2 linked regions of the Caenorhabditis elegans genome follow. The protein of the gene in region 2 interacts with the protein of the main gene of each other region in a biochemical or structural test. Each region holds a gene or a part of one and is shown on either strand. Other genes may lie near its edges.

Evidence for each region. Proteins that work in one complex are often made in the same cells at the same time.
Region 1: of the proteins of pmk-3 (region 2) and atf-2, one has a biochemical effect on the other in vitro, tested with the Caenorhabditis elegans proteins (one study listed by BioGRID).

Annotation. Positions count from the first base shown.
Region 1 is NC_003280.10:8,750,012-8,754,849, forward strand, and holds atf-2 (Transcription factor atf-2), read left to right. Parts: upstream 1-1,974; coding exon 1,975-2,105; intron 2,106-2,179; coding exon 2,180-2,555; intron 2,556-2,785; coding exon 2,786-3,008; intron 3,009-3,090; coding exon 3,091-3,347; intron 3,348-3,420; coding exon 3,421-3,519; intron 3,520-3,607; coding exon 3,608-3,727; 3' UTR 3,728-3,922; downstream 3,923-4,838. Other genes in the region: K08F8.7 (MARVEL domain-containing protein), read right to left, coding at 4,150-4,207, 4,263-4,543, 4,648-4,734, 4,782-4,838. UniProt on the Caenorhabditis elegans protein: Acts as a transcription factor that recognizes and binds to the sequence 5'-[GA]TTA[CT]GTAA[CT]-3', a sequence present in many promoters.
Region 2 is NC_003282.8:8,137,171-8,144,118, reverse strand, and holds pmk-3 (Mitogen-activated protein kinase pmk-3), read right to left. Parts: upstream 4,901-6,948; 5' UTR 4,817-4,900; intron 3,874-4,816; coding exon 3,622-3,873; intron 3,139-3,621; coding exon 2,993-3,138; intron 2,943-2,992; coding exon 2,858-2,942; intron 2,560-2,857; coding exon 2,450-2,559; intron 2,405-2,449; coding exon 2,257-2,404; intron 2,084-2,256; coding exon 1,477-2,083; intron 1,396-1,476; coding exon 1,319-1,395; 3' UTR 968-1,318; downstream 1-967. Other genes in the region: Mitogen-activated protein kinase pmk-2, read right to left, coding at 504-608; islo-1 (Interactor with SLO-1), read right to left, coding at 5,195-5,495, 5,547-5,677, 6,032-6,347, 6,554-6,758. UniProt on the Caenorhabditis elegans protein: Responds to activation by environmental stress and pro-inflammatory cytokines by phosphorylating downstream targets. Involved in axon regeneration after injury, probably downstream of dlk-1 and mkk-4 and upstream of mak-2. May phosphorylate mak-2.

The DNA.
Region 1 (4,838 bases), on a different chromosome or scaffold from region 2:
AAAGTGGGCAGACTCAAAGAATACCTCTTTTTCATGTGAAAAGCTAAAACTTCACTTGTTCCAATTTAAAAGTTCTAAGAAAATAACAGTTCTTCTTGACAATCCTAGATTCAAGTAAAGATACCTTTATCTAAAATTGAATTTCAATTTTCTCTCCTCTTTTTCCAATTTCATTCACTTTCCTTCCCATAGCCTGCATACTTTCACCGACTCGTTCCCGAACGATATGATCGTGCTAGCCACTCTCTCTTTCTCGTATCGAACTGCGATCTTTCAGTTCCCAACAAGAATACCATCATTTCAACACCTCACTTTCGCAATCAACTACCAAAAGTGCACTCTCACTCTGTTACTCTACCTAACCGTATTATCCGCTCTCCATGTAAAACTACTGAAGTAGACACAGCAAGGGACAGGCACACACTCACTGGTCATCAAAATCATCAAATGATGCAGTGAATTTGGCTGTTCTGGTTTGCAGACAAAAAAGTTTTGGAAGCGGTGCGGGAGGATAGTGGACACTGTTTGTGATTCACTTCTCGTCATTCTCCGAGCCTTACAAACAAACAAAAATAGCTCTCTCTTTTCGCTGACGATTGTCCCCCAACACGGGCGGCGGTTATTTTGGCTCTCGCCACTCTTTTTCAAGGTGCACAATCAAAAACAAACAAGTCCAGCCCGATTTCGCGAATTTGTTCATCTAGTTCAACGCATTTTTTTCATTTTGAATACATTTGCTTGTATCGTTTCCGAGTTTCTTGAACAATTACTTTCAGAATTGAGTATCATTTTTTGTGTTCAGCAGTGAAAAATAACCAAAATTTCTCTATCAGGCTTGCACTCACATTGGTCATATTTTACAGTCCTGACCTAGAGTGCGTTTATGAATTTTTCAAGACTTTTGTTTATCTAAACCTACCAATTTTTTCTTCGTTATCTTTTTCAACTTTATCTTTTAGCCGTATCTCATTATTCACTTTCCACCCAGTAGCTTCATCCTCTTGTCTTCCAATTCTCCGCAAAGTTCACCTACCCTTTTGTACTAGTGACCTGATGCGACGAATTCAACCATTGACCTCCTCCTCCTTCTCACACTTAGACACACATACATCCGTAACCCGAAGCAGCGAAAGTTAAGCATGAAAGCGAAAGGAAAGTGAAAACAATTAGGAAAAGTCGGCATCATCATGGATCGGAGGAGGCGACGCGTTGAAGTCGTTGCGAACGATGAAAAATGATTAGGAGACGGGTCGAAGAAAAAGAGAAGGGACTGCAATGAAGAGAGAAGGGGGCGAAAGTCGGAGGGGATATCCTGTTCTTCGACTGGTTTATTGTAGAGACTGAGAGTGAGAGGATCTACCAAGCATTGTCCGAAACATTGACCATGGCTAACTGGTTTGCAAGGCGCAAATAGGTCAACTGAGGAGAGGCACAACACCGCTTAATTGTTGCTAACTGCACTCTACACCTACCATATGAACACACCTGTACCAGATATACTTTGTTTTCTCACCTTTTTTTAAGTTAGTGATTTTCTGGTTGTCTAGATACTCAGGGATTAGCATTGCGTAAGATCATCTTCACTGAAACCAAAAACTGAATAATTTTTGTATACACATTGGTCAATTAAAATGGCTTACAATTAATTAATAATATCTGGAAACAGTGAACACATTGAACTTCTGATTGTGCTGAATCTCCAAAGATCGTGTCAATTTCAACTCAAAAAGACGTATTTGTCCTTACATCAAATAGGTTGACAGCTTCTTTTAACTCTACTAACTTTCCATTTCAATACACCATGTGTACTAACATTTTGAAGTCAAAATATAAATGTTGTGTCTTAATTCATTTTGAAAGATTTTGGTATTCATATTTCTTTCACCGATGTTCTTTTCTTTCAAATTTCGTACTTCTATATTCTTGATTTTCTTCTTTTGTTTGACTTTTAATCATCTTATTTTTATTTTTCAGATGGACGTCGACTCGGCATCATTGTCACCGTCCTCCAGACTTTCGGTGGTTTGTTCGGCATCCGCCGAGTTCTCATCGAGCTCGTCGGATTCGTCGAACTTTTCAGAAGGATCTCCCCCGGAATCTAGAAGGTTTGAATTTTTAACAGTTTGATGAAACTTTTGAAAGTTTAAATACTTTTCGACATTGATAACTATTTTTCCAGAAATTCCGTAAACGAAAGTGTAATAAAAGATGAACATTACTGGGAAAGGCGACGGAGAAATAACGATGCATCAAGAAGAAGTCGAGAAAAGCGAAGGCAAAACGATCTAGCAATGGAAGAAAAAATAATGTTACTTTCCGCCGAAAACGAACGGTTAAAATCTCAGTTAGGAACGACACCAATTCCACAACCATCAGTAACAGAGCCTCCAACATCTCTGATTATTCCCCAAGTTGCAAAGAATCTTTTCCCAGCGGGTCCAATAGCATCTTTGCAAGCGAGTTCAATGCTTACTGTTCCATTGCTCCAGGCAGCTTCGCATATTCCATCAATGTTGCAGCTTTGTCAACTACAGCCAACAACTATTCAGTCACCGGTAAGTTATTTTATTGAACTTGGAAATATCGAAATTGTGATGATTTAAATAAAATAAATTAACTCGTGGAAAAATATTTACTATTACAAAAACGTCTGAACCGCATATAAAGTTCCATTGTCATTTTTTGGCAACACAACTCAGATTGTCAACAATTTAATGAATACATTGACAGCTGAATGCGTGACCTAGAAAGACAGATGTCCCATAACGTTTTTCCATGTTTGTAGGTCTATGCGAGCACTCAACAACCTGCATCAACGTCAGCATCATCTTTATTCTCTTCATCGTCTTCATCTGCATTTCATCCTTTTCGACCATCAGAAAGTGCTCAGCAGAGTTTTCCATCGAGTAGCGTAATTGTGAAAATTGAACGAAGAAGTCCAGATTCATCAACTGACGTGAATATGCCTCAACCTCAGTTACAGCCTGGATCTAGCGTTATTCAACAAAGTAAGTCGTTGTTTTTGAAAGTAAAGAGCATATTTTCATTTCACTAGTATTAATTGAAACTATAATCTAAAATTTATTTCAGTCGGTCAGCCTGCTCCATCAGGTACGCCTCAACCAGTAATCCAAGCTGTTCAACAAGGACCATCCCTGCTATCTGCTCTTCTTTCACAGCGAAGACCTTCTCCTACAGTACCACAAAGCCGAACGGAACATATTTCGGGGCTAAATTCCCCTCCAAGACATACTGGAAACAAATCAGACTGTGAAAGTGTATCGTCTTCAGCATCTTTCTCTCCATCGCATTCTTCGGAAGATCACTCAAATTATTCGAACAAATCGGTAAGTTTTTTTAAAGGAATTGAAAGAAGACATTTTTAAATACATGTCAAATATTTCAAAAAAAAACTTTCAGCCCCAATATGTGGACAGACGTCGAAGGAACAATGAAGCCGCAAAAAGATGTAGAGCAAATAGACGAGCAGTATTCGAATACAGGTCACGACGAGTTCAGGTAAGTTGAAACTAATTTTAATAGAAAACATAAAATTTTAAAACTTAGATATAAATTTATTGAATCAATTATTACTTAACATTTTCAGCTCTTGGAAGGTGAAAATGAAGATCTTCGTACCCAAATCGAAACGCTAAAAGCAGAAATAGCCCACTTCAAATCAGTTTTGGCTCAAAGAGCATCAGTTGTTACTGCCCTTCACCCTTGATCCCATTCCATTTTCTTATTTTTGACTAATACGGATAGAAAGCCAATTTTCTTCGTCTTCTCGCTAGATGCCCCCCAATCAAAGTCTTTCGCTCTCAAAAAACCCTTCCTCTCTTTCTGCAATACTTCCAATCATTCATGTGCAATACTTTTTAACTTTAAATGTTTCATTAATTGTTTCTAATAAAACCAATGTGTTATTATTTTTGATTTGCTTCCTGTACAAAAAAAGGTGAAACAACAAAAAAAAGTAAAGTCTGCAAACGATTTTTAAAATCCACCCGTCGCTTGCCAGAAAACGGAAACTTTTCAGAATGATATAACTGAATCAGAAAATTGTTTTATTAATGTTTCATATATACAAATTATTATGAGAAAGTGAATTTAAAGTTGAGCATTGATAATTATTTGATTACTTTTCCATTAAACAGAACTTGTTTGCCCTTTTCGTTGATACTCCATGTAAATGTCATGTATACTTCTGAAAGGACATGAAATATAAAATATTTCCTAATTTTATGCAAATCTTGACCCACTTTTCCGTTTCGATGACGGCAACAGACGGTGGCGGAATGTCATAAATTGGCGCCTTTTTTGAATTACGATAAAAATAGAAGGCATTCAGGCCTAGATCCAGAAGTCCAAATACTAGAACCAAAAAGCAAAATACTGAAGCAACTTGGAATGTTCCAGTGGAAACTGATTGATAACATCCGTATTGAGTTATTGCTCGGGAGTCACAACCATCATTGGCAATTAAAAACAGAATTGCAGAGACGAGAATGGAAAGAGCAAAAACAAAAGTGAATAGACATCTCTGGAATTTTTTGACAGTACAAATCTACGCGTTATCAACATTAAAAATAAAACGAATTAAGAAGTTTGGGTTTTTTTTCAAACTTAAAATCTTTTAAAAATTACCTTAACTATGGTTGTAGTTTCAACATCCCATATAAATAATATAGACACCGCTGAAGCTGAAAACAGTAGTGCAATGATTACGAATAGCTGAAACAAAACATTAAGTTCTGACCTTGAAGATTATTATAGCTTACCAGTCCAAATACGGCTGATACTCGGTTAGTCCAATACTGGCTGAGTCCAATTATGAA
Region 2 (6,948 bases):
TAGTTTTTGACAATTTATATTTATTTCCAATGATATCACCATCACATTATGTCTCATATCCTATGATCTTCGTGAATTTTGTAGTTATTTTTATTTTGGCAACTGTAAAAATGGAGTAGCGCAACAGGGAGAAGATGATTAAAAAATACTTCCATAGTGCAAAAAATGAGTAATTGTGTTTTACTTTTAAGAAAACATTGGATTTTTTTAAAGAATTCAAAAAAAAAAAAGGAATTCAAAAAAAAAATTTTGGAAGCCGACCAAAAAAAATCTCTCCTGACTTTCGTTATAAAATCATTTTTGTTCAAGTGATTAAAAAAATCTTAATTTTTTTTTCAAATAGTCCGCAAATTTGGAAATTTTCCAAAACTTTGACTAAAAATGATGAATAATCTAAAATTAACTCATTGGGTTTTTGTAATTTGCAAAATTTCTTTTAGCTCATTCTAGTATATTTAGACAATATTCACTACACTATAAAAAATCTTCTTCTGTAACTATACCTCATGATATCCTTCTGGAGTAATCTCAGGCGGGGCAGGACCAAAATCGGCAAAAAAGACACCGGGAATGCTGGCTGAATCGCCCATGGTCGCCGACATCCCCATCAACAAGACATCTAGAAAAAGTTTGAATTGAATTTGTAAATATAATTTTTACATTTTTGCACGAAAGTTTTAATATTTCGAAAAAGGGCAGACAATTGCCTACATAGGTATTCCAAAATAATAATTCAATCTTATTTCACATTTTTTAAATGTTTGAATTTTTCTGCTAATTGAATAAACGTTTTAAGCTGAAGTTCAGGATTAACTTTGTCAAGTCAAACTATGCTTTTTATATTAAAAAAATTCCAGAAATTTTCAGATAATCTCACTTTAAACATATAAGCTCGTGTAAAATATGAGTGACACGGATTAGAACCAATCTCTTTTTTATAAAACACTTCAAGCTTTTAAAACGAATTGTCAAAAGAAAATAAGTTTATTGAACTAATTAGTATGTGTAAGGGTGCAATGACAAGAATGACGAATATAAAAAAATATGATGGGATAAAAGCATGAGAGAAAAACGAGACAAAGAGATTCAGAGAAATGGAGAAGTAAAGAGAAAGAGAGAAGGAGACAGAGACATAAAAGGAAGAAGCTATAGAATGCAAGAAAATAAATACTCTGAAAGAATTTGAAAGAGAAGATGGAAAACATCATTATCACCTGTAAAGTGTTGCTATCACTGAACGACAAAGAGACGAGAAAGAGAGAGGGAAAAGAAGTAATACATTTCCGGAATTATATACAATTAATATAATTGAATGAAATCAGCGATCTGCTTCTCCAGGGATTAACGGTGATGAGCTGAGTCTTTTGTAGTTCATTATTTCCTTCCAGACGGCATCTGTAATAAAATATTTTTGCATTTGTTGTTTTTCAAATTTGCAGGTGTGCAGAATTCTATTACGTGATCTTTGAGCCTTACCTCTCCACTCGAATCTTGTTCTAGCTTGAGAGTCATCCAAGTCAAATATATGATCAGCTCTTGGTTCATCTTCTGGAAGTGAAAACTCTGCCAAATATGGATGTTGAATAGCTTCTTCCACCGTAATCCTCTTCTCTGGATCCAAAACTAAAAGCTTCTCAAGTAGATCAATAAAGTCTTCTGATGGATTATGAGCAGAAAATACATCACGGAAATTTCGACGTTTGTGAGTTGTGTAGGATTGAATTACGGCTTTAATTGCAGACGAGTTATCATTTTCAATCTTTGTCAAAAGTTCTTCATCAGGACTTCCACATAATTGAGTAATACGTTGATATTGAGCATTGGGCTCATCACCCGGAAACAGTGGTTCTCCAGTTAAAAGTTCTGCAGCAATACATCCAAGTGACCACATATCTGCCAGATTTGTGTAACTATCAATCTTCCAATAAATGACTTCTGGACTACGGTACCATCTTGTTTGTACATATTGTGTTAGAGAAGTATCTTTCTTTTCCAAGGATCTTGCAAGTCCAAAATCGAGAATCATGAGGTCAGAATCATCGGTCAACGCGAGATTTCCTGGTTTCAAGTCACGATGTATAATCTAAAAAATTTTAATAAATATATTTTCGTGTTTTAGTCATGTTCTTTTTGACTAATTATGGCCTAATCGTGCCTAATCCTCCTATATGAAATTTTATTTAATCTAAAATGCTGATATTTCTATTAAAAAAAAAAGAATGAGCAATGTTCTGTTCACTAACTCCATTGACTTACATTAGCAGAATGAATGTACTTAAGTGCACGTATGATTTGATAAATGATGAATTTGATATGCTCGTCGGTCAGCACGCGCCGTCCATAATCTCTTTGTTGCTTCAAGATCTGATAAAGACTACGACCCGCAAATTCAGTGACAACGTATCTGAAAATTATAGATTGTTTGTAAAACTTTTTTGTAATTACTTACACATCTCGAAAATCGTTTTCCTCGTCAGGTGTGTAGATGTCAAGAGCACAGATGATATTGTCATGTCTCATTAATTGAAGAAGTTTTGTTTCACGGAAGATGCGACGAGCCTGGAAGTTTAAGGTGTTCAAAGGATGTGATCGACCAAATATATTCTCAAAAATGGGTATAAAAACCAAATATCAGCTTTTTGAAATGTTCTTCTAAAGTTTTGGCAATTTTCCAACAAAAAAAAAGACGAAAACAGAAAACAAGATTAGTTTTAAAATTCTGGTTTTGCCCCAAAATTTTGAATCACCACTTCTTGACTGTACATAGAAAAAGTTCGAAAATTTTTAATACGATATTAGTTCATTTGAATTGTAAAAAATATGCTCTAGCTTCAATAAAAATGTATCTTTGTCTTACATGATGTGGATCAAAGAACGGTTCTCGCATCTTCTTTATTGCAACATAACGACGAAGCCCGTCACGGCACACTGCACTTGTTTTTCTGGAAAATATAATCATTCAAATAAAGCACACAAATACTGAAAAACATACATAACATTTCCAAACGAGCCTCCACCCAAATACTCAATGCTGTTTGGCTCGACGTCATAGCCTTCCGGAATTGCAAATGTAATGTTACGGATCATCACAAATTGGAATCGTCGTTTGTGTGGACCACATGGTTTTGAGAGAATATCCTGAAAATATAATGATGATTAAGATTTTGGAATACCTATGGTTGCAATATTGTCAACAATGTTTATTTCTGTAAAGCTAAATTTCTGAGGCATTACATAGCCAGTTTCCTATTTGGTTTGGTCTCTAGTACACGTGCCAATTTTATCATTTGGAAATAAGACGGCGCAATAATTTTGTGTTGCAATTTTTGTAGAAAAAACTTCTCAAAAAATGAGCTATGCGTGCGCGGGGTTAGATTCTTCTGAAAATGTCAATTCTAGTCAATTCTACAAATATTAAGCTAGTTTTGAAACTTTGACAATTATAAAAAAATTAATTATGGAATGTTTTATTTCCATCCTTTTTAGAGTATTAAGGTCGATTTCTTAGATTAAAGTCATACTGAAGCTTTACCTTTATCATTTTTATGATTCTCCGCATATCAACAAAACGCGCGGATTGACTTTCGTCAACTTACGAAATCTAAAATCTTTCTCCCTCACCTCTTCCTCCTCCCCAACCATCTCGTTGTTTCCCGTTGCTTCGATACTCTGCTTCTTAATATTCTCTGCAGCTAACTTTTTCTGTTGTTCCTGCTCTCGTTGTTGTTGCAACCAGGTGTTGGGTTCGTAGCTTTCTGGAGGTTGAGATTGATTATTACTTCGTTTGGTTGGTGGTGCACTTGGTGTTGACACGTCTTCATGACGACGGACATGCGACACTGGGAGACTAGATGACGATGGGACTGACGCCATCTGTAAATTTAAATGGGTTCAAGTTAGGGCTTGAAGTGAAAAAATCAATAACGAAAAGCGTTGTCGGGGGAAATTAGAGGAGTGTCGGGGATTTCAAAATGAAAGTTTTATTGCGAAACACGCCATGTAAACTCGAACACTCAAGCGACCTATATTTTTGCGGAGTGAAGTGTAAAAATTGTGAAACAATGATTTTTTTATTGTTTATGGTCACTACTTTGTTTTCTTTTGGAGGTTTTCGGATTCACTATAACTTTAGGAAATTCGATATTTTAGAAAATATTAGGAATTTTGAATTTATCAACAAAAAAATCAACTCAATCAATGAAGATTAAATAGAAGAATTTCCCATAGTTTTGGCAATTACTAACAATATCTATTTACATTTGAACTGTTAGTAATTGTTCTCTCGCAATTTTTGTAACGCGTACTTAAAGACACATGGATATTTTTGAATTGGGTCTCAAAGAGTCAGATTTAAATGTTATTCGTTTTTGTCTATTTTTGTGAAATTTTCAAAATATTTTTTCATTAATTGTGGAATGGAGGGATCATAAAAAATTCTCAGAACTTTTTCTGATGGCGAGACCCATAAGAGGAATTATGCAAAAAAGGTGCAAAACTACCATGAAATTATGTAAAAGATTCGGGTGCTCAATCAATTGTAATTAATAAAATCGGTGAAATACTTGTGAGCTCAGTTAAATTGAGATGAGCACTACAGTTTGTTTTATATTTTCTTGTTTATTTACTGAGTAGCGTCTCTTTGAATTTCGTAAAAAAGTGTACAGTGTTTGTTCGAATATGAGCAATATTTAGGTTCAAACAAAGTTAATTATAAAGGGTAAATAATATATTTCATTTCAATTTTAAATTATCAGAAAATTCGTCTTTTGTTCAGCGCTCCACTATTATGAAGTTTACCAAAAACAAAATATCTCACCTGTTATTATAATAAAGTTGTAGACTAGACGTTCCTGTATTGATTGATTTTGAGTATATGTTATGATAAAAATACTGGAGAAAACTGAAAAAAGACGGAAGTATAATTATCAGTGACCAAGGAAATTGGAAGAAACAGTGAGGTCAATCAGATATGAGTCAGCAGCGATTGAGACGCAGTGAAAAATGGGAAACGAGAGGAAGACATACAAAGGGCGAAGGTCGAATTTTTTATTTGGTTGATGGAAAATATTATTGTAGATAAATATTTTAAAATATCTACAAATTATTCATCTCCTTTTCGGTTGATCTTTGTGGATACAGAATTTTGAAATTAAAAAAAAACAATATAAATCTGGTTAACATCATAAAACAATGTCTATATTTGACTATTTTCTCTCCTTCTTGATCTTCCTGATCCTTTGCTTCGATTGGAGTTAGTTCGATGTAAAGGTCCCATTGATTTGGATCTTTTTTGACTTGAAGCTTCACTTGATTGTCTTCTACTTGCAACTGACGGCTGCCTTGATCCTAACCGATTTTCCATTATTGAATTCGTGTCAAGGAATCCAGATTGATATCTTCCAACGCTTGTAGCTCTTAGGGTATTATATGGACTTGCTACAAAAATGTTATTCGGAGATCGTCTATGAAGGGAAAGTGTGGAACATCCAGGAATTCTGAAATTATAGATTTACAGAATCTTGTTCCGGTTTGAATGAAGTTCTTACACTGGTGGATACAGTTTCTTTTCATCGTGTGGCTTAACTACATTAGACATTGCGTGTCGATTCTCAAGAACTGGGTACGCAGGTGGAGGTAGAGGTTGATATGGATCTTTCTCAAAGATCGGAGGTAGCGGCTGTAAACGTGTAACAACTAAAATGGGTACATTTTGATTTTGAATTGATACGCATTATTACCTACATTCTTCGTTCTAGTGAACTGTATCTAAGCCTTGTAAGGTTTCAAACACATTGCTGTTTCGGTTAATTTGGCAATTTACCAAAACTATGCCATTTTCAGAAATCTAAAATGTTTTAATAGTTTTTTTTAAATTATGGTACGATCATTTTGAGTTTGTTTAGACGTTAATTTGTTAGCTTTAATTGTTTATATTACTTTCATGAAATTTTCAAAGGTGTAGTCGCAACTTTTACAAGGACATGTGGGTTTCTAATTGAATTTGAATTTTCAATTAATCAAAAAGACTTACCACATAATGTGTTGTAATAGTCGTAAGCCTAGCAGGATCATTGTGCTTCTTTGTGTGGTGTAACGAGAGATCACAGAGCTTTGTTGTGCATAAAAAGTAGATTAATGAAATTATCAAAAACGAACATCCGAGTCCAAATAAAATAGGACCCGCAATTTGAATTGGTGGTGGTCGTATTCTTTGTTCGTATGGCCAAGTCCAGAATGGTGAAGTATAAAGGTATTTATATCCAAGAAGTGACATTAGTAGTCCTCCAATTAGGAGAAAAACGCCGAATGCTGTACAACAAATCAATGATGACGAGCCACGAAATTTTCTTTAAAAAATAATGCTTTTTTCAGGGTTTTTTTTTAAATTTTTGATAAAGTAACTTGATGTATATTTTCTGCGTCTCTGTTGAATTTTCGCGTTGAATATGATGTATTAGGACATACTCCATTAAATTATAATCTACGAGTTATTTAGTTGAGCTATTCAACCCTCATATTTCCAGCTTACAGTTTCAATTATCAAAAAACTAACGATGTTCTATATGGAAAAAATCCAAATGTTGCTGGATACAATATATCCCATCCTTTTGGATAATAATAGAAATATGGATCACGTTGAGCCATTGGTCCAAAATGAAGAACTCTTTGATTTCCAGTCCATTGTTGAGGATCAATCTCACTTGCACCAGCTTGAACCATTTCGTCTTTCTTATCCTTTGCAGTTACGTGAAGCTTGTCTTTAATATTTCGAAAATATTTATGAGTTTTTAGAATCAAATTGACATGAAAACCCCTTATATTTAATACAACAACTCTATATTCTGTGCTACATTCAGTACATCGTGGTGAGACCCATAAAGTCAATTTAAATTACTACTTCTCAGTATTGCTTTGATGGTTATAATTACTGTAGCTGGTATCGATTTA